4 linked regions of the Rhinolophus ferrumequinum genome follow. The protein of the gene in region 4 interacts with the protein of the main gene of each other region in a pairwise test. Links are inferred from orthologs where the notes say so. Each region holds a gene or a part of one and is shown on either strand. Other genes may lie near its edges. The genes, in order: CDR2, NUTM1, DBNL and SH2D4A.

Region 1 (7,871 bases), on a different chromosome or scaffold from region 4:
TGATGTTTACTGAGTGTGAAGCAACCAAAGGTCATCCGTGGGGGTAGAAAAGCTCATTGCGCTACGGACCAGCAGGGGGCGCACCTGCGGATACAGGAATAATAACTACAGCTGACACCACGGGAAAAGCCAGCGCGCTCAGTTTGTGTTTAGCATCCTGGCACCTGTGTTTGCATGAATTCTTTCACCACCTCCTTAAAACAATCCTAAGGAGCTGGCACTATCATTATCCCCACTCTACAAATGAGGAAGAGAGCCGGGGTGGGAGCCAAGGCGGATGGAAAGCACCCCGAGTTGGTGCTCTCAGGGGTTCCCCACCAGGCACACCGGGCCACGCCACAGCAGAGTGGTGGCCTGGGCACACACTACGGCACAAGGTTACGTAATTTCGTCAGGAAAGGTTAAAATATCAGTGTTTGCTACCCAAGGCCATGAACTGAGTGATAGTTTGTGAATACCACGGGATTTCCCGAGACACAGAATATCTTAATAATGAGGCTGCTTGTTCCACGTAAGTGAATTTCCCGAATCACCAAGCTTAGCCTTTAAACTCTAAAGCTTTTATGCGTTAAGTGGCAATCTCTTACAAATCTCCTTGCCCTCCCACAGAGGATCTTGGACGTGGCTAACCTTTTCTTAACACTTAATTCTTCAGCTGTGTGAAGAATCGGCTCTTGGGAAAATCACAACAATGCACAACTGTGAAAGAGAGAAACACTGTCTCAGGTGAAAGGACAGGTAAGGGCTCACCCCACTGGGCGTGGTGAAAAGCCACTTCTGAAATCTTGTACAGATGCAGAAAACGCTCCACGCAGTAGAAGCGGAAGACAGAATTTAGCATTTTAGTCCCTAATGTTATTGTAGAATATGCCCAAGAATGGGATTGGTACTTAAAAGTGGCATTTTCCATGCAGAGGAATTCTTCTTCCTTTTGTTTAAAAAAAAAAAAAAAAAGGAAAATGGTTAAAATTCACTGTTTCCATGCGATGGGTGGCAAAATTCCACTGGACACTAGTTAATTTTAGTTAAATGAGTCCAAATCTCCTCGCTGTGAATATGTAATGATTTAACACTTTACTTTCCTATCTACTCACTCAACACTTTTTGAGATGTTGCCGGGAACTCTAATTTCATAGAGTATGACCGTACGTGAATATATTTTTACTATTTCTTCTAACTTATAAACATGAGATTTATCCAAGAGTTTGGGCACGCTTAACTCGAGGCCAGGGAGATGCACTTATGGCATTATTACCCTCCCTACCTGGGAGAGTGCGCTAGAAAAAAGAACAATGAGGTGACATCCTTTAGCTAAAGCCAAAGAGAAGGAATTGAAGCAAACCCCTCCTGTTAGTATTATAGTATTACATACTTGCATTGGAAGAGTCAGTCTTTTTTTTCTCCTGACAGACTATGTAACTTTGGCCCAAGGGACATACCTAAAATGGACGTAGAAAAAACCCATTTTGATCCTCACTTGATGTAAACGTCCCTCTTAAATCTGGCCTACTGTCTTACCCTTTCAGTGACTTGATTTACCACAGTGGAAAACAGGAAAGGGTTAGCCAAGCTAGAGGTAGGTATAGATTCATCTTCCTTTTAATCTTGATGATAGTTTTAAGATAACGCCATGATTTTCCTGTTTTATCCGGCCGTACTGGAATATTCGGCCAGGTCTCCACAATCTCACTGAATCAGAAAACACAAATATTCAGCTACCTTGAGAGACGTAACTTGCCTAAATGATGCTTGAGAATTAAGCTGACACTGCCGTCTGTATTGCCCAATTTCTTAGGGAAGGAAGGGCACATGAGAGATCAAATTAAGTCCCTGAGCTTCATTTTGCATTGGGAGGATCCAAGAATGATTCCAATTCTATAGGAAGTGGGGCCCTAGAATTGTAAAAGGGGTTGCTAAACCCCTATGCAGACCAAGTATTGTCTGCAGACTGAACACAGAATGTTTTGCCCATGTGTACTTGGATTCTTATAATGTTTGCAGATACTGCTGTAATGAGGGAATACAAATCTGAATGTTTGTGGCTTTTTTTGTCATTATGCTCAAAGCACTTGAAAAATAGAAGTATTATCGTGTGGAAGGCAGCCAACAATTCTCAAATTTGAAAACGCGGGGAACTACTGGTGAAACCCTCACCCTCAAGAGTCATTTTTGGCATACGTGAGATGCAGATTGAGGCTAGAGGTCACTGGGTTACTAAGAGAGCTCAAAACAAGGGAGTCAGAAACACCAGAAGCCAAGATACACATTTAGCCCACCAAAATCTGGACACTTCTTTTCCTTTATTTCAGGCGTGTTAAAACAAGAAGCATGTGCCACGCCTTCTGAATTGCTCTACCATTAAGTCAGAAGGCAGCTATTTATAAAGTCAGAATTTTGCAAAAGGTCAGAAGTTTGCTGAGTTGAGAGCAAATTTTTCAAAAAGAATTTGAGTTAAGCAGGCATCCTGTCTGAAACATATGAATATAAGGTTTTTAAAACATTAAGAAAACATTTGTTTACATACCGGGGATGCCAAAAAAATGTATAAATGTGGACACTGGTCAACGTGGTTCAAGCAGTAGTTTGCTGTCATCAGAAGTGTCTGGACGCTGATGGGAACCACTTTGAGCACCTCTTGCAATTGCAGAAGTCAAACGTGACTTGTATTCTTTTGTTATCGGTATATATTATAATTTTAATAGTTTTCTTAAAATGTATATACATTTTTTTGGCATCCTCTGTATATTGAGAGGAGGAAGCGAACTTTTCCTTATTTCTATCTGCAAAAGAGCTCTCAGTATTTTGCTTTAGATTACTGTCATCATAGTAAATACTTATTTCAGTAAGTGTCACACTGAAAATCACCACTTAAAATTTCTTTAAAAGCCACCACTATTATCTAAAGTCTCTCCTTACACAATTTTAGTATAGCAACAAAACACCCAAGAACCAGAATATTACATCTTTACAACTCGGAACGAAGGACTTCTGGTTCCTTTTTACCACAAACTGTTTTATACAGAGGAGTTTAAAAGTACCCAAATGGTGTCACGATTAGGCTGAGCCAGTGAATTGTTAAACAAAAGCCCAAAGCCTCCTTTTAGAATCAACTTGGGTTGTTCTTCACTGGCCTACTACTAAACCAAATGCTATTAATGTTGCTAAAGAACCTGCTTTGATAACTTCCAAACTATGCCTACTTAGATTCTAAAAGAATGCCAGAGACTCCTCCAAGGTAAGGCTTTCAGCACTGAAAGCTAACATCTCTTTTTCGATGCAATTTTGTTTTTTTTCCAGGGGAAAAAACCTCAAGTTTCCCCAAATAGTGTCCTTAAAAAGAACCCACTTCAAATATATGGTGATGGAAGGAGAACTGACTGCGTGGTGAACACAAAATGGGATTTATAGATGATGTAATACAGAATTGTACACCTGAAATCTATGTAACTTTACTAACAATTGTCACCCCAATAAACTTTAATTAAAAAAAAAAAAAGAACCCACTAATACCGAAAGGCATAAAGCCTGGCTTTTTATTCTGTGCCCTTTTAAATTATCAATGACTTTAATTCTCCAGATCACTCTCTCTGAAGGAAAATATAAAAGAACGTTTCAGTACACTTTCCCATTTGATTTGGAGTCCAAATGAGCTATGTGCCATGGAGAAAAATGCCAGCATTTTCAATCTTGCGCATCAGTGACCAGGGAAGCCAAGTCTCCTGAAGGTCAAATGCATGACGCTCAACCTTTCAGCTTCCGCAAATCACCATCAGCAAATCCTAAATCCAATATCCTCGCTTTCCAAAAAGCTCTGTCTGTGGTGATTTACTTTGAAATTAAGACGGTTTGAAGTTATTTCCTTTTGACTCGGGACCGATACCTGTATCAGGATATGGACAAGCAGGCCATTGGGGCTTTACACTGAACCAAGCTATCTTCGTTTTTAGCCCAGCAATAAAACGTGGATGACTAACATTTTGCCTTTCAGTACACCAGCATTCAGCAGAAAAGAATTTGTGAGTTTACCATTCCTTTTTCTTTTTTATATTCCTCCCACATTTGTTGGCTGGCATTCTACTCTGAGAGAGAGGACTGCATTCGCTTCCCTCCAGGTACAAGGTCATGACCCTAGAGGCATAACTGGTGGTCCATGGACATTTCAAAACTCGCACGCAAAACTGCTCGCAATGTGTTTCTAAGGAGATAGCTTCAACTGCACCCCTTCCCGCTCGCAAGTTCCCCAGTGGGTCTGGAGCCCGCTGTTTTGGGGGAGTTGAGTGCAATTCCCTGCGGGTTGGAGGTGAGAAGGGCGCAGAGGTCAAGGAGAAAACGGCTGGCGGTCCCCACGGCCCGACCAACCCTTAATTTCCGCGCATCAACGAGAGGGCCCCGGGGGGTCCAAAGACCAGAAAGGGTCACAGGGCCGCGCGCCTCGGGCTCCCGGCACCCTTCGCGCCCCGGCCTGCACGAGGGACGCCCAGCGACACCAGCCCAGGCCCGCAGGCCGGACTCCCACCCTCACGCCCACACAACCTGACCACGGGCTGGCTGTCCCCGCGGCCACACACCCACCACAGGCGCCGCGGAGGCCGCCACCTCCACACCCCGGCACTGGAGCGCGCTCCCAGAAGCCACCCAACGCAGGAGAGGGCGGGGCCTCCGGCCGCACCCCTTCCCTTTTCCCCGCCTTCTTTGTTTCCTCCGGAGTGGCCATTGGCTGCTTGCCCACGAGACCGGGCGAACCGCGGGCCTGCGGGAAGACGCCATTGGGCGACGTCGCTGCTCCTCGGCCGGCGACCCGCTCGCGATTGGCGGAGGCGCCGCCCGGGGTTTGAATGCAGCCCCCGTCGGGGAGCTTGCTGCCAAAGTGCCACGTTGGGTGCCGCTGCTGCGCGAGGAGCCGGCTCCGGGCGCCGGCCGGGGTGCTCGCGCCGGGTTGCCGGCCATCGGGGCCGTTGGGCCTCAGGACGCGAGTCAGAAAGCCGGTCCGCGGCAGCGGCGGTGCTCGGGCGGCTCTGGACCGGCGGCGTGGCGGCGCGTCCCGCCCGAGGGCGGCTCTGGCTGAGGACGGAGGAACCGGCGGGGAGCCCGGGGCAGCGGCCGAGGCGGGACGGCGGCAGCGGGCGCCGCTGCCCCCGGGAGAGCCGGCCGAGATGCTGGCGGAAAGCGTGGTGGAGGAGTTCGAGGTGGAGGAAGAGCCGTGGTACGACAATCGGGACCTCCAGCAAGGTGAGAGCGCGGGCGGCCGGCGGGCGGCCAGGCCCCGGAGGCTTCCGGCGGCGAACCTCTTAAAAAGTTGCTTGTGCTCGTGGCCCACGGATGCCAGGTGCGGGCGAAGCGCGGCGTCCACCTGGCGTGGGGACCCGCCGCACCTGCGCGTCCCGCCCCGGAGGCGGGCTCGGCGCGGGCCGAGGCTGCTGCGCAGGTATCGGCAGCATCACGCGTGCGGAGGGCTAGCTCTGCGCCCGCACGGGCTGCAGGGAGTCCTCCCCGCATTGCTCCGCGGCGCGGGTGGGAGTTGCTGCAGGTGGCCGGGGGAGCAGAGCGCTCCGGCAGGACCCGTGCCCAGCCCTGGGCCCACCTGTGATCCGCACAATAGCTCTGCGCGAGGTAGCTTTTGTTAACCCCACTTTCCGGAGGAGGAAAACGGAGGCCAGAGCGGCCAAGTGACTTCCCTTGCGTTAGGAGTGGGAGCGTGTTTGAACCCACACACTCAGAAGGAGGAACCACAGCCGCTACCCAAACCCTGGCTTTTCGTTACCAGCCGCTTTACAGCTTCTTCAGTTGGGTGTTCGACTGTTGGGCGGAAAAATTGCTTCTGCATCCTTCACCTGAGGCCCTGAAATGACTGAAGGGCATTTCTACCTCGACCCCTTCCTTCCCTTAGAAACAGGCACTCCTATCTGAACCTGCCTTGGATTTCTTGCTGATTGATGGTGTCTCTAGAGAAAATCGTTGGACAGTCCTCACTTTGCAGCCTCCCTATAAGGCCCCCCTTTACTGCACATGAGTAGCAGGAGCTTGAAATTGGGGAGCGCTTTTTGGGGGCCACTGACAGGCCCTTTAACACAGCTGCTCATTTAATCTCAACAACTATGGAGGTAGAAAGGAAGATACTGTTATTGGAGCTAGGATCCCACTTCAAACTCCAGAGCAAACTTTCTTAACCACTATTCTGAAGAATCCTCAGGAATTTTTTTTTCAGGCATCTTCCGTTTCTGCAATTCTGTGTACATCGACGTTTTCAACTCTCCACTTGCAGTGACAATTAACATTTCATCTAGTTGAATATTAAATGACCATGATGTTTGTTCATGCTAACCATTGAACTGGGGGGGCGGGAAGGAATGTAAACTTGAATTACTCATATTTAGAAAAGGGAAATAAAACAAGTACATCTTTTGGGGGAAGGTGATTTCTTAAATCAACATGCTGTGTGGACAGTCACTTAAACCAAAGTAGTTCACCATTACGCTTGCTTAAATGGTGTAAGCTACTTAGCAGCTGCAGTGCAGTATTTGCCATCACATTTTCCATGTCCACAAGACACATTTGTCTTACATTTTAACAAGCCTGTTTTCAGTTTGATATTTTCTCTAGGATTAATGTGAGAACCACTGTACAACTGCAACATTTCCTTATAACAAATTAAGCAGTTCGTATGGTCATAGCTAAATATTTTTCTTTCCTGCATTTAAGAAACATAGATCTGTACAGGCTTGTTTTGTTTTTGAATCTGGTGGAATCCTTGGCACATAACAGAAGCTTGATTTTAATATTTGTTGACCTGAACTGAAGCACTCGCAGAGGGTTACTGTTTTCATTGCTCTCTTCTATCAGGTCCCTCAGTCCACAAGGCATTTGCCCTGTGGGAAGTTGTTAGGAAGATTCATTTGTAATGTTTCAATCTACTGAGAAGCAAATGCAACTTGTTGGGGTTACTAACCTCTGGGCAAAAGGAAGTCATCAGGTGTTCAACTTCAATGAGATCTTAACGAACACGGGTCCAAACCTCCTTAATGCCAGTTTGCGTTTGGAATTTGTTCTGTGTTTCTTCTCAAAGGACTTTTACGTCCGTATCACGATGGACTTTGACATAACTCTCTATGTCATAACCAAGTGTGTCGGGTAGGAATAGACTGGAAATTCCACACAAACAGTTTGCATTTGGAATTTGTTCTGTGCTTCTTCTCAAAGGACTTTTCCATCCATATCACGATGGACTTAGACATAACGCTCTATGTCATAACCAAGTGTGTTGGGTAGGAATAGACAGGAAATTCCAACAATCATAACTTGTGAATAAGGCCTGTAAAAGAAAGAAGGATACAGTGTGAATAAAAGGATGATCTTTGTCCCAATTTTGTTAAATTGTGTCTTAAAGAACTCCTAAACTTCTAACGGATTTTAAAATTTGTTAATTTCTCAAATACTTACCAACTCTATGCCAGGTACAGATCCAGGCCCTGGGGCCACAGTCCCTACCCACAGATAGGACAGGCAGGATCCCACAGCAAAGTGAAATGGAGGGTCTAGGAATCTGTTGACGAGAGAGGCCTAGAGACGCTGCCTCCTGGTCTGTGCCCACCTCTGCCTGGCACATGGTAGGCCCTCAATAGATATTTGTTGCTGAATAAAGTTTGGGAGCAGCAGGTCTGCCCTCTTAAATATTTCGATAAGCAAATTAGTGGGATTTTATCAAGTGCAGACAGACATCTGTTCATTTTTAACATCCTCACAGGCATATGCCTCATTTTAGTGCATTTGCTTTGTTCTATTGCGCCTTAGAGGTGGTGGGCTTATTTTTGGTGGTGGTTTTTTGTTTTTAAATGGAAGGCAAGACTCTCCACCAGCAAAAAGATTACGACTTG
Region 2 (7,515 bases), on a different chromosome or scaffold from region 4:
GCTGCCTAGGCCCTTCACCTCAGCAAGCTTTACCACCTCCCCATTTTGATTTGAATTCTCCTGAATAAAATAGGGAGCGGTGGAGGAGGTGACGCACAGAAGGTCCTTTGTCTGGTCCCGCACCATCCTCTCCCACAGGAATGAGTCACACCTTATCCTGGCCCGTTAGAATGGCTCAACTCAATGTCCGAAGGTGTTAAAATAGAATGAGAGGACCTGGCACTTAGTGTCAAAGACCCAAGTTCCAACCACTGCTCCTCACTGTATGGTAGGAAACCTCTCTGAGCTTCAGTCTTCTCATCTATAAATGAGGACTAAATGCTTGCCTGAACTCACAGGGTTGTGAGCATCACTTGAGAGCACACAACTGAAGGCTTGCTAAAAACTGAAAAGGCTTATCGTCATCATCATCATCATCATGCTTTTGGTACTCAGAGCATCTCTCCATCACCCTCATGACCTGCCCTTGAATATTCCTATAGCGTAACCTCTTCTGTCCATCCCAAAGCCCTCCTTATTGAAAAGCCCTAGGATAATTAATCTCAGGTCTCCCCACTTACATAAGAAAGCAGGAAAGAGCTTCTGCATCAGGACTCTGGGATAAGTGCATCCGGGCCAAGGCTTTGTAGCACTGCCAGCGTCGGAAGTTCTCATAAACACCCTTGGAGGTACAGGAGAGGTCACCCAGTGAGGGCTGGGATTGGGTGGCTGGCAGACCTCCTCCAGTTGCCCCATGTGGCACAGGCCAAGCGTTTTCCGGGCACACAGGGAGAGCCAGTTGGGAAGCTGACGGTGGAGTCTGAGCAGGAAGGCCTAGGAGGCCCTCCTGGCTCACTCCAACAGCCTTAGTAGCTAGAAAGGTCTTCATGTTAGAAGTTGTCACAAACTGAGGAGGAGGACCTTCGAGGCCCCCAGAGGGAGCACCTGAGGCAATCCAACTGAGGGCAGTCTGAGTAAGGATCAAGTTCTGAGTTTGAGAGGCCTCAGCTGGCCCCCCTTCTGTCTTGATTTTGACAATGACTTTGCCAGCTCCAGCCCCACTGTGGCCAGGGCCCCCATCCTCTGTCACCAACATTGGGCTAGGGAAAGCGGAGAGCATCAAAGAGTTGCCTGGAGGGAAAGCTGAAGGCATAGGGGGCTGTGCAGGCAGCTCCCAGGGTGGTTGGTCTGGTGGGCCAGGAGCAGGTGGGGGAAAGGGAAGTGCCATGAAGGGAGATAGGGCGGTGCCAGGTATCATGGTCATATCTGGTCCAGGCAATGGAGATGCTGTTGAGACAAAGAAAAAGAGGGAGTGCAGTAGGAGAAAAGCAGACCAGAAGCTACATTATCAGAGTTGCACTTCAGTTACTGAAAAATCAGAGCTCTGATTCTCAACAGGTAAGGAAGGGTATATATGGAGGGGAACGTCTGTAGTTTGCAAGTGATTTTGATGTTCCTTACTCCCGGTTGGAAATCATTGCACTAGAGAAGTAGCAGTGACTCTTGGACCCATGAGCTCATACTCCATAACACGTCCCACAGAGGATACAGGTACATCTGGAATATATAGTCATACAAATTCCAAACCCATTCAAACCACCTGAACTCTGCTCCCAGCTGGTCTGTGGTCCTTGCCACCACTCACAGAAGTGCTGTTCCCAGGAGAGGGTGTGTGGATCAGATGTTTGGTTCTCAGAAATTTTGTTATATAATAGCTAAAAATGACTAGAGATAAGGGCCAGGATATGGACAAGGGGAGGGCTGTGTGGGGAGGGAGGTTTCCAGAGCTTTAAGTAGCTGGTGGACACGTTAAAATTTGGCATTGCAGACTATCTGTGGTCCTCCAGCTTGGATTCCCTATCAGAAATATAGGATCCACCAAGAACAAGGCACTGACAATGAAGTCTGAAACAGTACCTGCTAAGAAGGAGCTTATGTGGGCTCTTGTCAGAGACCGAGGATAAATACATAAAACGTTACTTAATCAGGACATGTGTCTCCTAGGACTTTTTATAATAATAATAGATCATCTGCCTAATTTCATGCTACTCTCCTCCCCCTCTTATAAAGACTATTCCCCTGGCAAACTAACAACACTCAGCTTCCGCTCCCTGACCATGAAAGAGACACGGAATATGAGCAAATGTGTCATCTCGACAACAGAGCAGAGGGCCAGGAGTATTCCATGAAGTTCGGATGCAATGAAATAGGACTGAAGGTGTGAGCCTCACAAAAAAATAGAAAAACTGAGAGCTTCTCAGGGAAGCCCCAGCTCTCATTCTGGCTGGAGTGATCCACCTCCTCTAGCTCTGGGGGAATCAAGGAGAACTCCTCCCTGAACTGAAAGAGAAGCCACCTCTGGGGCTGGAAGGAGCCATGAGGCTCTGAGCAGAGGCACTTATAGTACCTTCCAGTCTAGCTATCAGGAAGGCATTTCTCCACAGACTTGGCAACAGATAACCCCACTGAACAGCTTCTCCAGCTAAGACCTCCACCCCACCCTGACCCCCCAATACATCGAGAGTGACCCCAGCACAATTCTCTCAGGGGAAAATTCTAGAACAAGCTCCAATTACCAAAAGAAGACCCAGAATCCTGGGACTTCCACTTGAACCCTCTCTGTGCCACACATACCACTGCCCCTGCCACACAAACACATGTTGAACGGGGTCCCTCTTCCAGAGAAGCAAGTTGCTAACTGCCATCCCTTCTCTATACTCAGCACTTTCCTCTGAGGTACTTAGATCTGCATCCCAGAGGGCCCTCTTACTTCCCCAACCCCCAGTCTTTTTTTTCCCAACCCCCAGTCTTCATGGCACAAACTTATTTCCCAGCCTCTCCAAGTGTGATTGTTTTTTTGGTAGCATCTATATTCTCATGTCCCTCTAGGTCAGTACAAAGACCCCTATTGTCCCCAGGTAAAGTGTCAAATTTGAATCCCCAAGGATGTGGCAGGGGGTGGGGTACCCTCTGCATCACCTGCAGACTTACCTCCATCTGAAGTCATCCTCTCAGGTTTGGACACTAGCTGTGGCTGTCTGGAAGCCTCCAGAATGAGACAGTCAGGTTGAGGACCCAGAGAGTAACCTGGCTCCAGTAGATACACAGGGATCCAAGGAGGAGAGGATAAAGATCAGATCAAAACAGAACTGGAATCTAGAACTCAAGGAAGTCTGCAGTGGGGGAGGGGATAGGGGAATGTGGGGCTGGGGTAGGGAGATATTCGACAGCAGGCTCTGGTAAATTGGCAGTAACCAGGAATTCCCACCAAACCAGAGTTTGGCAACACAATTGTTGTCTACCTCTTTAGGGCAATTTGTAAATTTTCAGATTCCCAACATTATAGTTTTATTAGTACATCTCCGTTCCCTACACAATTCTTCACCAGTATATTTAGTTTTGTGCCCTTAAATCCCACCCAGTTCTGTAACTGACTTCCTATTAATAGAAGGTTGTGGCAGACCCTTGATTTAATTCAATGTTCGCTGTATTTTCTGAACCAAATTCAGAACACACAGTCTGTGTACTTAAGGATCTGGAGAACGGAGTGCTTGAAATTAGGATTGTCTGGGAAGACCCAGGGTGTTTGGTTGCTGTATGCATATCATTTCCTTGGAAAGCTGTCCTGCAGTTCCCAAATAGTCCACCATCAGCTCTGCAGTCCACAGAAGGTTTAGCCTTAACCCTTGGTTGAAAAGCCCCATTCTATCAAAGACAGGCATTCAACCTAAAATTTCAAGGCCAAAAAGTCCTTTTGTTTGTTAAATTATTTTTGTTTAAAAATTTTATTAAATAATTTTAATTTTTAAAGTGGGAACTACATTAGCATGGGTCTAAAGTAAAACTATACAAAACAGTGTACAGCGAGTCTCCCTCTCCCACTCTTTTCCCCTGGAACCAAGTTCTTTGTTCCCAAAGAAACCAATATTATGTTCCTGTGAATCCTTGCAGAGATATTTTATGCACTGCAAGTAAACACGTATTATCATTACGTTTTACGTTTCTTTAAAAAAATTTTTTTTTCAGGTTTCCTGGTTATAACATTAATGTATATTCCAATGTTTTTGACATTATAAATAATACTGCAAAGGTCATCTTTGTAATATTACCTGGGCTCCAGTTTTCATTTCTTTAAACTAGAGTCCTATAAGGAGAATTTCTACACGTTCTTTAAAACATTCGAAATAACCCCTAGAAGGTACATCTTATTATGCTATTATTAGCTACTCACCACTATAAGCGCTGAGTTTGTGGTAGAGAGACCTGAGTTTGAATCTTGGTTCGATCACTAAAACATACTTCACCAGTTTCATAAAACAACTTCACGCTCTCTTTGCTGTGCAGAATATTAAATACCCATCATGCACTCTTTACCGCCAATATTTTGAAATAGGGCCGGAGAACCGGATAGAAAAAGAGGGGAGGGAAGAAAAACCTTCCCTCTTCCATAAGGTAAAGGGGCTCTGAATCCTGGAGCTCTTTGTTTCTCAACGCACTATAAATCCACTGCCCCTGATATGGGTGTGCATCTTGCGATAAAGACAGGATTCTATTCACTAATGTTCAACTCATATCCATCCCTATCCCCCTCTAACGCCTAGCAGTGTCTGGCACACAGTGGGCACCCTCCATGTGTTTTAGAAGGCCTACAAAGTTGCAACTGGGCACCAAAGTCTACAAGGTTGCAACTGGATTGCAACTGGGCCAAGTCCTGCACTAGTGCGCCCCCTTCTGCCCAGCTGGAAAAAAGCCTAAAATGAACTACATTTCCCAGCATACCTTGAGAGAGACACTTCCGGCTACACAGGAAGGAAGTTGGCAAACACGAGAGACTGTTAGACTGAGCTGCTGACGGAATTCGAGCTTCTGTCTTCATCGTGGTCATGTTTCTCCAGTATTACCTCAATGAACAGGGAGAGCGGGTCTATACCCTGAAGGTAAGAAAAGGAAACATGTAAATAGGCATGGCGAAAAGTGGAGGTGGGTGGAGCGGTTGAGACCAGCCGCGGAGTTGCCTAGCTGAGTGGGGGGAGTTGGAAAGCCCAGAAGCCAGGCGTGGTAAGGTAGTAGCTGGAGTGTATGAGTGCTACTTTGACCGTCGCGTCTTCTGTCTTCCTTATGATCATTTTCCGCGCGTCCCCCTCCCCATCCCAGCCTCCATCTCCTTTATGACGCCAGTGATTGAGTTTTCTCACCACACCTGTACTGAGATTATGTTCTCTCTTCCTGGAGCAGAAGTTTGACCCCACGGGACAACAGACCTGCTCGGCCCATCCTGCTCGGTTCTCCCCAGACGACAAATACTCTCGACACCGAATCACCATCAAGAAACGTTTCAAGGTGCTGATGACCCAGCAACCGCGCCCTGTCCTCTGAGGGTCCCTTAATTTCATGCCGCCTGCTACCCCTCTGAGACTTTCCGAACCCAAGCGCTGCAATCTGTGAGCCTTGATGCCTTGTTACCACCCTTTCTTTTTGGAATCTGGTGTCAACATTACCTTTGATCATGTTTGTGCGAGGCAATCATGGTAGCATACACCTTAAAGGGAACAAGTTTGAATCTTCTTTTCCTGTTTTGACATACTGTCTGGTTATTAAAATGATTTGAAAGAGCTCTTATTTTGTATGTTGTGGGAAGAAGGACGTGGTTTAAAAAAACAAAAAACGAAGAGAGATGGGAGGGAAGTGTACCCAGGGGCACAACAATACTTGGAAGAAAATCCTAAGTCGTTGCTGTAGCAGGAGTAGTGCTGTATTAGTGACAGGAGGGTGTTGGGGAAGGGAAAGAAAGGTTGAGAAAGATTTACATAATTGTCAGCATTTACAGAAAAATACCCCTGTTATCATTCCCCTTGAAGTGACATTTTGACTTAAAATGGAAGAGTTGCTTGAAAATAATAGCAACCATATTGTAGAGGGAAAGCAGTGAATTGGAAGTCAGGAGACCAAGATGCGCTCCTCTCTGCATAACTTTAAGAAAGTCACTTAACCTATTTAGTCCCAATTTTTTCTTCATTTCTAAGTTCTCTTCCAACTCTATAACAGATTGGGTTCAGTGGCGGATATATATCCACAGTGTTGTTCCACCATTATGAATATGAATGCCTCTGTGCATATTTACTGCTCCTCTGGAAATAGTCGCAGTCTTTTAATTCTCTCCATCAAGGAATTGTCTTACATACACCTAACTTTATATTCTCTCTGGGAGCTAGCTGCTATGTGGAACTCTACGTGGATCTGAATTTAAAAGATGAGGTATGAGAGATTGAAGTGGAGATTTTGTTTTTCAAGCTATCGTTGGTGGTTAATAACAAAAGAAACCTGGGAGATTTTTAAGGATTTGAGCTTCTGTCAAAGGGCAACCATAAATTTTTAATTCAATTGCTTTATATTAGAGGGATGATGAGGCAAAATATTGTATACTGGCTGGCATTCAAGAAATGCTAGCTTGCTTTTACCTCACCTTGTCAAGTTAATCCGCTCATGTCCCCAATCATCTCATTCATGGCTTTTGACATTGGATTTGAATGTTTGCTTAATGCCACAGATTTAAGAATTGCTTTGTGGAGATTGTGTTCTAATTTTACAATCTTCTTTTTCTACTGCATCAAGATTCTAGACTCCAGAAGCAGATGTAACTTATCTCAGCACAAATTTGATTTATCCAGACTGGCCCTGCAAAGGGATAGATATGTTTCTCTTGGAATCTGATGTCTGACCATCCCAGCAGAGAAGTTCAGGATAGTTGTTGACTGCTGAGAAAAAAAGAAAAAATATCTAAACTTGGGTCACAGTTAATAGAAGACATGATTTTCAAGTCAATTATTTACTTAAACATATGGGAATGGTGAAACAAAATATTTGTTTCCTGTCAATAATTTTTTATTTCTTAGCCTAGTCACTTACAGGTTCTTAGCATTGGATCTGAGGGATTTTAAAGACTTTTCTTGCCCCATTAAGGGGATAATGATTGAAGAAATATTAAAAATTCTGCAAATGGCTAGAAAAAGCAGCTGCTGAGCAGATGTTTCCTGGCATTGTTGTCAGTTTTGAGTCAAACTCATAAAAATTCAGAAGAAAAAGAAAAAGGATCTGCTCTGGAAGTTTCTTAAGCACCAAAATCAATTAATCAAATCTGCTACCAGTATTTTTTAATGTTGACAGTAATTCTGTCCTTATAATTTACTCCTCCTCCCCAAAGAAAGATTAGCTTTGTTCCATGCTACATTCTGTGTAGACTGAAATGAGAAGACTAACATGGAAATATTCTGAATTGAATTTGAAAAGAAAGGCAAACTGGTTTGAATATACCAAGGATTTTTCCTTGGTACCCTAGGTATTAACATTTGAGACGTGCTCAGAAATGGGAGTCTTAAGAGTTATACTATTAGGTATTAGGTAGTATATATAAGTTAATGAAAACACTCTGTGTATGAAGCAAAATTGGTTGTAGAAAGCCAGCATTTCTTTGTAAGGGGAAAGTCTTTGAGATTTGAATGAACAGGCCTGCCTGAGGAAAAAAACATCCCTCAGGGA
Region 3 (7,101 bases), on a different chromosome or scaffold from region 4:
GAGTTTCCTGAGTCCAGTCAAAATTCCCCCATGCCTGCTCTCTGTTGGAGATGCATGGTAGAGAAAGTGAAATCAGTCCTTTGGGATTCCCCGCAGAAATTATCATTCACCCTTTGCAAGCCTGAGTGGTGATGTATACCTGCCAGACCCCTCAGATAGGCGTGCCCCAGCAGTCTGCTTGGACTCACCCCCTAGGAAACACATCTGCTTGTTACATTTTTCAGGGCTCAGGTCAGCCTGAAGAAAAGGTTTCTTAGGTTGAAAAGCTTATTTTAGGATGCACTCTGGTGTGGGCAGCTTCCCTATAACCCACATGAGCAGCTGTTACGTGTCCTAGGCAAGTCCCAGGTAGGCAGCTGGACAACAGATCCAAAAAGCCAGCTGTGGGGTGAGGTGGTTTTTTACTCTGTGGACCAGAGAAGGCAGGGAGACATAAGATCTTAAGCAATTGATCCACTGTGAACAAATGACTGTTAACTACACCCAGAAGCATCTGGGTTTTCTGCATAGCTCTGAGATCTTTATCCTTTGTCAGGCTCCCGGAAGAACCAGGAGTTCCAAGGATATGGCAAAGGGTCAAAATCTTACTAGAGATAAAATGCAAGAATGCAAACAGTCCAGGCCTAGCAGCTCACAGCTGAGCAGTATGTCAATGCTGAGAGAGCCCACAGCAGCTCACTCAGGTGCTCAGGGATGGGCATGTTTCTGTTTCTGACATTCAAGGTCTCTTTAAATGCCAGGGAGGTGCTGGTGGGACAGGTCTCCAGCACTCCTGGCCTGAGGTCTGTCCCTGGTATGCAAAGGGAGGCAGAGCAGAAGCCTCAAGGTCAACATGGGCCCCTAGTCTCTCCCACCCTGCCAGCCCCTCCCTCCTGCACCTCTTCTCACTGACCACACTCCTACCCTGGCAATGCTGGTAAGGGCTGGGCCTGGATTAGATCTAGTCCAGGAATGGAGGAATGGAGGACATGGCTGCCAGCACCCGTGAAGGTAGGAGCGCTCCCTTGCCTGCTGTCCTTTAGCAAGAGGAGGAAGGACTCGTCGTTCTCCGTCTTCAGTCTGTTGGTTTCATTGTTGCCACCACCCAGGTTTCTCCCATTGATAGATTTTATTAATAATAAAATCACAAAACCATAAAGAACCTGCAAAACCTATCAGACCAGATAGTGGATTCTTAATTTTCCTTAAAACGTCTCCTTCACCCCCCACCACGTCTCCCAGGACCCCACTCTCTACCCTCTGGGGGAAGTTGGCCATTTCTGCATTTAGTGTCAAAGGCACAGCAGTGCAGTCTTGGGAGTCACCCTGACCCAGAAGGGACTGACAGTCTGTCAACATCTTTGGGTTAAAATGTCAGCAAAGGTGCAGTGAACCTGTAGAATCATCTTGCCCATGACTCCGGCTCTTTGAACCTGTCCTGTCGGGGGTGCTGCAGGCCCCTGGCAGCAGGAAGCATGGCTGAGGCTTCAGGCAAGACCTGAGCAGACAGCCTCACGGCAAGAGCTGTGTGAGCAGCAAGAGTGCAGCTGAGCCTCTGTGAATTGTTAGGGTGGCAGGAACCAGCGCCCCTCCTCCTGGGAGCCACCTCAAACTGACTTCTGGCTGCCCCCCTCAGAGCCCAGCCCAAGGTCACTGCCTACTGGCAGGCCTACAACCCAGACCAGGGTCAGGGCTGTAGCCCTCTCACCTCCCTGCCATTGACTGACTGTTACTCTCTGTTCACATCATAACATGGACTCAACTATGTAAGTTTTTGTTTTTTTAACGTCTCAAGATACGAAGTATTTGTTTACTGCACACTACTTACCATGCAGCATAAACAAGATTTTAGGGCAGGAAAAACAGTAATTCCATTTCTCTAACTGTCTCTTAACTGTGGCCATGTGAGGCTGGAGCAGAGAGATGTAATCCTGGTGGTTTTAAGAAAATGATTTTTCTGCTAATTGACACTTCTGTTGATGAGGATTTTGAATAGCTATCATTTTTTACTGATTGCTATGGTCTGAATGACTGTGACCCACCCCAAAATTTCCTATATTTCAATCTTACCCCCAAGGTGATAATATTAGGAGGTGGGGCCTTCGGGAAGTGACTAGCTTATAAAGGTGGTGCCTCATGAATGGCATTTGTACACTTTTAAGAGAGACCCCAGAGAGCTCCTTTGCCCCTTCCACCACGTAAGGACACAGCAAAAAGATGGCCATCTATAAACTAAGAAGAAGGCCCTCACCAGACACAGAATCTACTGGTGCCATGATGGACTTCCAGCCTCCAGGACTGTGAGAAATTCCTGTTGTTTATAAGCCGCCCGCTCTAGTATTTGGTGATAACAGCCCGAACAGACTGAAGTACTGGTCTTGCTGTTCTTGTCAGACAGTTCTTTTTCTTAATGCCATTGGTTCCCTCTATCCTGTGGGCTCCAGAGGGAGCCTATCAGCAAGATCTTCCCTCCACACTTGGACCCAGGTGTATTTAGGACACGGTCAAGTACCCTCAAAATGTGGAGGACACACATTCAGGGCTCTGGTTTTTTGCCCTGAATCTGCCATCTAATCTACAAGGAGAGCATCAGGAAGTAAAGCAGATCTGAGTTTATCCACATGCAAGTAAAGAGGCTGTGTGAATGGCAGAGAAGTTAGGGAGAAGAGAGAGGAGTCCCAGGAATGACCTCTGGAGACATCTCTATCAAACTGAGGAACAGCCGAGCAAAAAGAGAAGGACGCTGAAAGGAGACAAAGTCAAAAGCAGGAGTGGGAGGGAGGGAGGGGGCGTAGAGATGGTCCACACGTGGCAGTCAGAGGGCTCTTTCCAATCACGTGCTCTCTAAAGCTCCCCAGAGATTCTGCTACACCTAGAATAAAACCCAAAGCCCTTCCCCACCCACAGGGTCCTACAGGATCTAGCCTCCGCCCCGGCTCCTTCCCTCTCCTCCTCGTGCTCCCACCTCAGAGCCCCAACACATCTCGTTCCCTCTGCCTGGAGCACTTCTGCCCAAGCTTCCTCAGCTGCCCCCAGCCCCACATTCACTCTCTGCTCCAGTGTGACCCTCCTCAGAAAGGCCTTCCCTAGCCTGTCAGGCCGACAGACTCGCGGGCTAGAACAGGAAGCGGAATCCTGGCGTCCCCAACTCCCCACCAGGGACCATCCTCACAGCCTTGTCAGCGGAGCCTGGGTCTGCCTGCGGCTCCCTCAGCAGTGTGCACGGACCTGGTCACCACTGACCTCGTCTGCTTCCAGCACAGAGATCGGACTGTGGCCCGCACAGCCTGATTCAGGCAAGATGGGCTCTCCCCAAGTTGACTGAATGTTGAAAAGTCCTCCTAGACTTCTTAAGGGTCCAGGGACCCCAGGCTCGCGACTGGCAGCCAAGTGGACAGAGGAAACTGGTCACTAGCTGTTTAAATAGGCACATTCCCAGAGACAGAAGAGCACTGGAAGAGGAGCCAAGGAGAAGGCAGAACAGTGAGGCTGGCTGAGGGCTGCAGCCAAGTCCTCCACGCCTCAGAGGACCAGCAATCAGAAGACGGAGGGCGGCGCGAACGGGGTTCTGTAGTTTAGGGAGGTGTGAGTTCCCCAGGGCAGGAAAGGGAGTTGTGAGCGGCCTGGCCCCTGGCCCCCATTTTCCCTCGGGGAGGTCACGGCCGCAGGGACATCTGTGCACAAAGGAACTGGCCTCCTTCCGGGCAGGACCTGCCAAGAACCAGCGGGGAAGGCCGGTGAGGGCGAGGAAGCACAACAGCCTCTTGAGTTCGGTTTGTGGCGGTGTGGTCGTCACTTAGCCTTCGTTCCCATCCATGTCCTCGTTAACTTGTGCTTGCTTCCTTCATAGCTCCGACTTCCTGGAAGAGTCCGGGTGGAGGGAGGCTCTCATGCATCCAAGTTCTCAATAAGCGCATTCGCTGTGAGGAGACTTAGAAGACGACAGGCACAGCGCTCCGCGCAGCAGCCAACGGGCTGGGCCCGCGAGGGCCCTGCGCACACGGCGAGCGCCCGCCGCCTCCTCGCAGCCCTCAACGCGGCCCTGGCGCTCCGCTCACCGCGGCGCCCTCTCGCAGTGCTTCCGCTTCCGGCGTCGGGGCGGGGCTTCCGGCCGTCGGGGGCGGGGTGGGCCCGGAAGCGGCGGCGGCGGCGCGGGGACCGAGGAGCTGGCCATGGCTGCGAACCTGAGCCGGAACGGGCCGGCACTGCAGGAGGCCTACGTGCGGGTGGTCACCGAGAAGTCCCCGACCAACTGGTGGGCGCCGAGGCGGGCCGGGGCCGTGGGCGGGCCGGACCGGGGGGAGCCTGGGGGCGCGGCTGTGCCCCACGCCTGGTGGTTCGGAGCCGCACTCCGGAGGTGCTGTCCCCCACCCTTGTCACCCCGTCCCCCGCCGTGCGTGAGTCCCCGGGCCCTCCCCGTCCCTCCGGCCGCCGGCCTCGGCCTGTTGGACTCCGTGCCGGGCTGCGCTTGGTGGCTTCGCCAGCTTCTCCTTTTCTGCCCGGGGACTTCACAGCCCTCCCTGAGAAAGAGGAAGCCACGCCCGGCTCCTTGCCAACGCTGTGTTCAGGGATGGCCTCTGAGAGCGGTGTGGCAGCCCGGCTGGCACTGGGAGGCTTGCCCCGGAGGCGTTACACAGGGAGCTCGGGGGGTTGGGTCCCTGGTTCTCTGTGAATGCGGATTTCAGAACCTCCCTTTCTCCAACAATGCTCCTCCCTGTGCCTCAGCCATGAGGAGATGAATGAAACAACGATGATGGCCACCCTCTTTCTTCCACCTCCCTATACCGTCCTCTGCTAAGCTGGCAACATTCAGGTCTCCTCCTGGGGTTCATGGGGTTTGGTAATACTGGAAGCCCGGATCTGCAAGCTCTGCGATGGCCCTGGACAGCCACGCAGAGGGTCAGCTCTCTTCTGCACGCGGTGGTAGCTGTGGATGGTAATTCTCTGTCACCGTCCCGTTTGCTTCGTTTTCACTTCCAGTTCTAAGAAATGCTGAGTTTGGTGGACTAAGATGACCAGCTTTTGGGAGCAGGGCCCACTGGGTGGGGCTGCTACTGGGACTGGTCTCTACTTGTCAATGCTGCTGCTTTCCCATCTCTGCCTTCCCTGGTGCCCAGCGCGGACTGGCTTTCACACAGTGTACTACTGGCCACTGAGCATGTCATAGCCTTTCCTGTCCGTCAGCCCCAGGCCTTTTGGGGAGGAGCTGCCTGGGGCGAAGTGGAGGTGGGCGCCCTGTGTGGGACGTGTGCACAGTTTTCCAGGGGAGACAAGCAGCACGGTTTCTGTTTGGAAAGCATCTCTTCTAAATAGGGAAAGGTGTCTAGTAACTAGTACTGTTTCTTTGCCTTCTCTTCTTCATAATCCTATAGGAAGTTCGCCCACCTGTCTAGGTACGGTTATTTCCGTAAGGAGACTTGGGGGATGTCAGCCCCCTACCTCTCTGTCTCCTGTCCTCAGAGGACCTTTGCTGGTGTTCCAAACCCTGGGGAAAGTGCCTCCACCTGAGTGCCCAGTTCTCACACCCACATGAGGCCACCTGCTTTGGAACCCAGAAGCGTGTTTGCCCCTCTGCAGTCCAGCCCAGTTAGGGTTCTGCTCCTTTACGTGTAATCCTTTCTGACTTACCTAGAAGACTCCTGGGCGTACTAATGGGCCTTCCTTCCATGTCTCTCTGTCCTCAGTCTTCTCAGGCCTCCCTTGGGCTTCTAACCAGAGCTGCCTGCTACCCCCGAGGTCTGCAGCTGATCTGCCCCATCCCCTCTCTGCCACTCAGGGTGCCGAGCCTCCTCACCTACCCCCAGGCTCCCATGGCACTTGGGGGCTGAACCACTGAGCAGCTTGAAGTCCTGGCCTCTGTCTTCATTGTCAACAGATATGGTGTGGCAGGTCCCCACTCATTAGCTGAAAAACATCTAGACCACGTCACTTCCCTGATTATAACTGCAGGGGCTTTGGCTGTACCTTACATAAAGCCCCGACGCCTCGCCCCGGCTGACACCCTGCACACCAGCTCCTGACCTCCACTCCTGCCGCCCTGCCGCTCACCACACTGACCACACCTGCTTACCACCACTGGCCTCCTCCCCTTCCTCACCTTGCAAGCCGGTTTCTCCTCAGAGCCCTTGTGCGTGGCTGCTTCCTCTGCCTGGAGCGCCCTTCCACCTCATCCCACGGGGCTCCCCAAACCTCAGTTCTCAGCCCCGTGGCTGCCCTCTTGGAGGGCCCTTCCTCAATTCCCGGCTCCCTGTTTGGCTTCTGCCAGACAGCCTCACCTGTCGCCTTTCTGCCTTTACCAGAAGGGGTGGGGTGGGCACTGTCCCTAGTGCAGGACTGTAATGTGTGGTGGGAGCTCAGGTGAAGGCCGGACTCGGCGCAAAAGGAGATAGAGGATATTGGAGCAGGGGTCTGCGGTGCGGGAGGCCGTGGAAGACTTCACATGCAGAGTGGGTGGCATCAGGCTGGGCTCGAAGGCCGGTGGGGTGGGCAGCCGCCACCACGTCCGCTCTGCGTCCTGCTCTTTCTCTTAGTTCTCCCAGTTCTCCCTCCCCACGTGGTAGTAGCAGCACATGTGTCTTCTTCCTGCTCCTGCTCCAGCACCTGACAGCACGTTCGTGTTGACGTGTGTGCTGCTTTGTCTTGCGATAGGAAGTAAGTCCCATTGGCAGGGTTTCTTGGGGATTATTCGTAGCTGCAGCCCCACTGCCACGTGTTTTGGGAAGGAATGACCAAGTTATAAGGTGCTCAGCACCCATGCTCGTGCCCTGCACAGGCCAGCGCTCCATTTCTTTCCATGTTGATGTGAAAGAAGAGCGGAACTGGATTGAAAGTGGAAATGAGCCTCTGAACTGGAACATCTGAGAAAGTGGCTGAGACGACCCAGGGAGAAGGGGCAGGAAGTCAGATGGTTAGGTGGCAGGCATGGAGCATGGCTCTGACTAGCTGCGGGGTCCCTTTGTGGTGGAAGAGCTGGGCCGAGTGGCCATCTCGATCCCCTGCTGCTTGTCTGGGAGGATGACGGGCCAGGACACCCACCACCAGAGTGCATGCTGACAGGCTAGACCCACTTTTCCCTTTGACTTGCTGTGCGGTGGTCAGCCCACATTGCCTGGAGCTGAGCTG
Region 4 (7,037 bases):
AAATGCTTAACTGAAGGTGCATGACACAGTATGCCTCTCTGGCAGAAGCCTCATCCCGGTAATTGTAGATTAAGTTTAGGGGAGTCCAGGTGTTGAAAAGACCCCATATGGGAAGGACAGCAAGGAACTGACTGTCCTACTGGCCCAGGTGTGGATGTTGTTTGCTCACTTTTTTCTCCATTTCCCCATTCACATAACCACTAGGAGTAGCACAAATGCCACAAGTGTGAAGAGTTCCACAGCACCTCTGTGATGCTCAAGAGTTTTCATGGTTTTAATGTTTTATTTGCCTTTTGTAGCAAACATGGATTTTTAGCATTAAAGTTAACTAGCGAATCTTGAGGGAAAGACACTGGCTTCCCTGTGTCCTAGAATACTTGGGGACTCAGCTGACAACTGTGGTGGTCAGGCTGCTGAATAATATGCATGCATTCTAAGCCTGTTGACTCCTACTGGTGTGAATGAACTCTTTCCTCCTCTACGCTATGAGATGGAAAACTCAAACACAGCACAGGGAGCTCACAGGACAACCAGCAAGGGACCCCAGCCCGGACTCCCAGCTTTGTTCTCATGAGCTGTGTGACTTTTGGCTGTTACTTCACTTTTCTGAACTCAGTTTCCTCATCTGTGAAATGAGGGCCTGCATTGTGAATCTTTATAATTTGAGGACTATGCCAGATAATCTATGTGAAGTTACGGAGACAACTGAAGCCAGGGTAGAGGAAATAGAAATGAGAAAATCAATCATTGTTTTTCTCACTTTCACTCCCTGACAGGACAATCATTGCTGATACTGATTCAAATTCTAATGACTTTCCACTAACATATTGAGTACAGCAAACTTCCAGTTATTCAAGATCCAATAAAAGGAAAAAGCTCAGCTAACTGGTTTTCTTCTACAGCACTTTTCTTAAGAGAGAAATGACAAGCCACAAGCCCACATCTGCTATTTATTCCAAAAATAAATTTCTAAAGGGTCGTAGGATCAGCTGTTTTCCAGGATAACACAGATTTGGCCTGACTCACACCGTTCACAGTCCTGTTTTACAAAACAAAAATTGTGTTTTTAGTGACTGAGATAAAATAATAATAATAATAATAAAATAAAAATAAAAACCCAACCTGAGGTACAGCCTAAATCATAAAAAGATTGTAATCTGGACAGTATAACTTTAATGTTTAAAATATAGTTTGAATTTTAATTATTTTAGTACTGTCAGCTCTGTTTTCAGATTTTCAGTTATCTTTCTCAATTTTACCTTATTAATCTTGTCAGCAAAGGGGCCATTTTTGAGGATAAAGTGAATTACCAGAGGTGAGAACAATTTGGTAAGTTTTGTAAATATGTACCATTCTTCAGAAAGTTGAATTACTGTACACACGGATTTATCTAGAAAATTCCACTCACATGCCAAATCTATGCCCACATATGCTTCCACTTATTCATTCACTTCAAAAATATTGTATCTGAGTCGTTTCTATTAAACAGGCAATCAAATAAAAGCCTTTTAGGAGGTGAGGAGACTAAGTTTAGAGAAAGGTGCCGTGCTTGCTTCTTCCCTGTGACTCTTGGGTAAGGAAAGACAACTCTGAGAATACTGAAAAATTCTGTAATTTGTCCCGTCGTCTCCACGCCCAGCCCTTTGGGGCGCCAGCGGGAAAACGGAGGGCAGGCGCCGGCCGGGGTGCCCCCTTGAGAAGGTAGGTCATCGGTACCGAGCTGACTGGGGGTCACCCTCTGAGTCTGAAGCAGGGCTCCCCCTCGGCTTCCCAACCCCGCCGGGCACCCTCGGTGCTGGCGCGCTGAAGCCGTTTCCCCGGACTCTCCTGGAAGGTCTGGGGCGAAGGAGGCCCCAGGGCGCTACCCAGAAGTGCGCGTATGCTCGTCAGCAGGGCAGTCGCCGCCGCGCCACGGCTTGGGGCGCCGTCGCGGGGCCGCGCGAGGCCAGGGCAGCTGGGGGAGACGCGGGGCGCCGGGGGTTATTCGACAAGAGTCCAGAAAGTGTAGACCGGCCCAGACCCTCCCACGCGGCCACCACCCGGCCGCCCCGGCTCCCTCCGGGGCGGAACCTCGCCTGACCTGCGCGCACACGCCCCTCGGGGACCTGGAGCCCCGCCCGCAGCCCCAGAACTGACCCTAGGCCTCTCGTGTACCTGCGGCCGTCCCCCTCGGAGCTCCCTCTTACCGTCACGGTAAGCCCCCGGCCCTCCCGTGCCATCGATCACTTGCCGGCGGCTCCAGACACCGGACACCAGACACCGGACACCGGCCGCCCAGCCTCGCACCTGAGCCTGCTCGGGGCGCGGCCGAGGGGTCGGGGGAGGGGCGCGGGCCGTGGGGACCCAGGCCTCGCCGCCCGCCTCCCCCAGCCCCGCATCCTCCACTCTACCCCTCGGGGACCCCCGCCTCCCCCGCCCCCCCCCCCAAAAAAAAGGAAATCTTCTCCGGGCCTCCCCTTCCCGGCCTCCCTCTCCACCCTGGCACATACCTGTGAAGGGCCCTGGGCTCGCCTGCCAAGGCGACCCGCGCACCCGCCACGTCCAGTTGGGCCGCCCAAGCTGTCGGGGAAGGGAAGGAGGAACGGGGAGAGGCGCCCGTGAGCCGCACAGGCTGGCTGGACAAACACTCCGGTGAAATGTTGGCAAACAGCGTCCCTCAGCCCCGGCCCGCCCGCTCCGCCCCACCCGCGGCCCACATGCCGGGGTGACTGACTGGGTGCTCGCGGCCCCACCCGAGCCCCTGGACACGCTCCAGGGCCGGGCGGCGGCGGGGCCCGGCGGCCTGCTGCATCCCAGGCCTGCTGTCCTGGAACCACCCTGGCATAAGGGGCGGTGGTCGCAGGCCAGCCTTCCCCACCCCTCCCAAAATAAACAACCACCTGCAGTCTGCGATGGCTCGTCCTGCCATCTCGGGTCCTGTGGCACTTATTAATATCAGCGGCCCTACCCCATCTCCACCGCAGAGCTCAAGGTTTCTTGCAAGGTGGAGCCTGCGGAGGCGGGCAGGCCCTTCTCAGTTACACTGAGTCCCGCGGGCCAACTCTGCTCACCTCTCAGGTTCTGCTCCTTCGTCTCTTGGAGCTTACTTTTTTTTTTCTTTTTCTTTTGTTGCCATTAAGTGAATGATCAAACTCTCAGGCACAGGTACTTACCAGTACCGGTGTGGCTTTGTAGGACGGGATCAAGGAGGAGAAAGGCTGGAAAGATGGAGACTGAAAACAAAAGCGTCAGGGAAAGAAAATCAAAGAAATCTGGAGGAAGGGTTAAGAAGGTCAAGAATCTTGTAAATTGCAGCAAGAACAGGTTGGGGTGGTGCATGAAGGAAGAAGTTGACTGAAGATAGGAAAAGGAAGTCTTGGAAAAGTGGAGAAGAAGCAGAGTAGAGACACTGAAGGGCGTGTCGCATTGAAGAGGAACATTCAGAATGTGTGGAGAGAAACAGCTTGATTTGGAGAAAAACAACTTGATTTGGTGAATCCCAGATCGCCCGGGTTGAGAAGAGATGTAATGAACATTGAGCATTCAGTCCTCCTCTCCATAGCCTCCCTATAAATTCAGGAGCCTGACTTGCTCTGTTCAAAAATGAAATGTTCTCATTCCTAGCCTCTCCAAACTTCAGAAGACACTCAAGTTGGGCTGCCCAAGCTGTTAGAAAGAGCCTTGGGGGCAAAGCTCAATCGTAGAAATCTAGCTGTTTAGGAACCAATCTAGGGATCCTATCGGGAGAATTTCTGGTTTTGGTTTGGTTCCCACTGCTTGTCAAATGGATCACCTGTGGGGTGTTTTTTTGGCTGGAGTGTCATCTGCCCCTGGTTAGCCAGCTGAAAATGAATTCTAACACTTCGTGGAGTGAACAGTTGAAAAACTATAAAGCGTGGTTCATCAGCCAGTAAAAATTCCAAAGGACGCTGATAACAGCCAGTGTCCTTTCTCCACACTCAGTCTTTTTCCATGTCCTGACAAGTCCCTATAACAGCTACTAGTCTCTCTGTTCTTTGGTTTCCCCCTCTGGATAATAGCAGTGCCTACTTCATTAATTTGTTGTGAGGGTTAAATGAGATAATACATGTGAAATGCTCATAACAGTTCCTGGAGGCAATAAGTGTTAAAACATATTAGCTTATATTATTTCACATCAGATACTGTAATTTCAAGTTATCACTTTATACTTATGTTATGGATTTTGCCTCTTCTGTTACCTAAGCTCCAAGTCAGCCTCAGTGATCCTCACCCCCCAGTACAGCAGTCCCCCCTTATCTGAGGGGGATACATTCCAACACCAATGCAGTAGGTAGGCAGTGCATGGTAGTTGAATGGCTGTTAACAGCCCAAATGAATTCAGACTGTACACGCATAGTACAATCGTTCACTCGACTTGGAGCCCAGTATCTCTTTCCTTTCCTCTCATGTTTCCTTCCCATCCTTCTTTCCACTATCTGTAAATATCTCCCTTCTTTTCCTCTTGTTTCTGTAATTCTTTCTGCATCCTCTTCACTTGTCTCCCCTCTCCACTACCACCTTCCCTTTTTGTTCCCTTTTTCATCTCCTGGCATTTCCTCTTTCAATTGGCATAATCTGAAACAGAAAATGTATTTTTTCCTTAATTTCAAAAGTAGACATTAAAATGTTTTGTGTTGCTTTAAAAATCATCAAGCGGCTCTGTTACTCCTTATGAGGCCCTGATAGCTTTCACTCCTTTTGGCCCAGTGCTCTCAGTAGATAACCTTTCCCCACTCCGTGGTCTAGGATGCATTGTGAGGAGGATTGCTGCCTTCACATAGTGGCAACAACACGCCTGATAGAATGTGAGGTCGGGGCAACCAAGCCTTGGTAGGGACAGGTGCTGAGTATCTACTGCTGGCTGGCCACTGGCCATGTATGATGCGTGTCATGTATGATGGGTGTCACCAGTACATGTGTTCATGGGGTGTCCGAATACCCATCCAGAGCCAGCATTGCAAGAGAAAGGCTAAATCTCTATATACTATATGCTACATACTAATTTTTTTAAGTTGTCATTTTACTTTTTATAAGGTTGATTTGTATTCAGGTCCTACAGAAAATGAAAGTTACCTTCGGATTTTTTTCTTATAAAAGAAAATAGGATAAACACAAATAATATTTTTCTTGCCATATTTTATCTTCAGCATCAGAAACCCCAACCACATTTTTTTAATTCTTAAAGAGTTATGTTATATATTTGTTCCACAGTGAATATGAAGTAGATGTGAAAGAAAAAGACTAAACATTTCAACTTTATTAAAAATTGATCAAATTTCAAAATAAATCTGTCAAGTCATCATTCATAAAAAAACATTTACTGAAAGTCTTCGATGTTTTCACTTTTGTGCCAGCAGTTAGAATTGATTTTGAGCTATTTTCATTTCTTTGTGACTCCCTACAGGCTTTTATTTTTTTCATCTTCACAAATATCAAGATAAATTATTGGTCTTTACATTCATCTTTGAATTAATTAGATTACTCTAATCCGTGATGTTTTCCCTTGAATTACTTTTATGGAATTGTTTCCTCAAAATCCATGGTCTGAGTTGCTGAGAAGACGTCGCTCGTATTTTTGTGTTTCTGGAATGCAGTGTTAAAGCAGCCTATAGCCCATAGGAACTGCTGACCCGCGGCTTGTGGATAGAATTGGGCAACCCCTACCTTAAGTGACATGGGACATCTGTGAAGAGCCTGTGGTAGCCAATACTTTTTTACCCATCAAAGCTCTGAGAAAGGAACAGAAGCAAGCTCTTTCTAGTATTCTGGCATTCCTTGGATATTCCCAGGGGCAGCTTTGAGTAGGCCTCCTAACGCTAATAAAACCAAAATCTCATCTCTTCCTTGTTACCAGATTCAGAATCAGGTTTTGATTTCCTAACTTCTCTCTTACGTGCAATCTTTGCAAAAAGTACACAAATTTATTTTAGTTTTGTAAGTGTTTACCGCCAGTGAGCACAGAAGTAGTTCTCAAGTGCGTATTAAAATAATCTAGGAAGATTTAATGTTTGTCCCTTTGCCCCTTTCCCCAAGAGGTTCTTATTTGATTGGAATAGGATGGAGCACAGACACCAACATTTTTTCAAAGCATCCTAGGAGGTTCTAATGTATGGCCAAGGTTGGGAACCACTAAGTGTGTGGAAACAAAGTTAATTGGTTATGGGAAATTTTGAAGGCATAGTAATAGCAGCCCCTAGACGTTACTAAAATAAACATGAAACTAGATGTTCATCTTCTTGGTTCTGGTCTTGAAGTAACTCCCATAACCTTGTCCAGGAATAGATGTTCCACCAAACCCAGACTATCATTTAATCGGGTGGGAATTAAATGTAATGCATGAGATGACAGTGTTTGGCTCACTATGGCTGCCCAATATATCTAAGATTTGCTACTTTCCTTCCTTTTACTTTTTTTTTTTATTTATTTTTTTATTTTTTTTTATTATTTTTTTTTAATTTATTTTTAATTTATTGGAGTGACAATTGTTAGTAGAATTACATAGATTTCAGTTGTGCAATTCTGTATCACATCATCCATAAATCACACTGTGTGTTCACCACCCAGAGTCAGCTCCCCTTCCATCACCATACATTTGATCCCCCTCACCCTCATCCCCCACCCCCCAACCCCCTTACGCTCTGGTAACCACCAAATTACGTTCCCCCCTTCCTTTTACTTTTAAAGTTTTACTTTTAAAGTTTACCTGAAAACTTTCTTTTTTTTAAATTAAAGTTTATTGGGGTGACAATTGTTGGTAAAGTTACATAGATTTCAGGTGTACAATTCTGTATTACATCATCTATAAATCCCATGTGTGCTGAAAACTTTCATAACTGAGTTATGAAACTCAGATGTTCCCTCTGGCCTTCTAGTTGAAGAGGGCACTTCCCTCTGTGGCCCAAAGATTCCCTGCCCACACCACATGGCTTCAGGTGTTCTTTGTCACTTCCTTGTCTTTCCTGGAGGTGGCTTTACTTCCGCCCCCTAGAACTCCTCCCCTCCCCACTGAACCATTTCCTTCAGTTATAGTCTTTGCT

Evidence for each region.
Region 1: the proteins of SH2D4A (region 4) and CDR2 interact in binary tests that used the Homo sapiens proteins (3 or more experiments, as listed by UniProt). The two-hybrid records come from large-scale screens. The link is inferred for Rhinolophus ferrumequinum from reciprocal best matches to the Homo sapiens genes SH2D4A and CDR2.
Region 2: the proteins of SH2D4A (region 4) and NUTM1 interact in binary tests that used the Homo sapiens proteins (3 or more experiments, as listed by UniProt). The two-hybrid records come from large-scale screens. The link is inferred for Rhinolophus ferrumequinum from reciprocal best matches to the Homo sapiens genes SH2D4A and NUTM1.
Region 3: the proteins of SH2D4A (region 4) and DBNL interact in binary tests that used the Homo sapiens proteins (3 or more experiments, as listed by UniProt). The two-hybrid records come from large-scale screens. The link is inferred for Rhinolophus ferrumequinum from reciprocal best matches to the Homo sapiens genes SH2D4A and DBNL.

The regions. Positions count from the first base shown.
Region 1 is NW_022680357.1:16,828,298-16,836,168, reverse strand, and holds the start of CDR2 (cerebellar degeneration-related protein 2), read left to right. Parts: upstream 1-4,850; 5' UTR 4,851-5,153; coding exon 5,154-5,229; intron 5,230-6,946; exon of another isoform or gene 6,947-7,309; intron 7,310-7,437; exon of another isoform or gene 7,438-7,608; intron 7,609-7,871.
Region 2 is NC_046289.1:70,959,849-70,967,363, reverse strand, and holds the start of NUTM1 (NUT family member 1), read right to left. Parts: upstream 3,002-7,515; 5' UTR 2,987-3,001; coding exon 2,971-2,986; intron 1,267-2,970; coding exon 561-1,266; intron 1-560. Other genes in the region: NOP10 (H/ACA ribonucleoprotein complex subunit 3), read left to right, coding at 4,863-4,916, 5,215-5,355. UniProt on the Homo sapiens protein: Plays a role in the regulation of proliferation. Regulates TERT expression by modulating SP1 binding to TERT promoter binding sites.
Region 3 is NC_046303.1:48,998-56,098, forward strand, and holds the start of DBNL (drebrin-like protein), read left to right. Parts: upstream 1-4,081; 5' UTR 4,082-4,151; coding exon 4,152-4,234; intron 4,235-7,101. UniProt on the Homo sapiens protein: Adapter protein that binds F-actin and DNM1, and thereby plays a role in receptor-mediated endocytosis.
Region 4 is NC_046287.1:57,283,441-57,290,477, reverse strand, and holds the start of SH2D4A (SH2 domain-containing protein 4A), read right to left. Parts: upstream 3,013-7,037; 5' UTR 2,880-3,012; intron 2,560-2,879; 5' UTR 2,490-2,559; intron 1-2,489. UniProt on the Homo sapiens protein: Inhibits estrogen-induced cell proliferation by competing with PLCG for binding to ESR1, blocking the effect of estrogen on PLCG and repressing estrogen-induced proliferation. May play a role in T-cell development and function.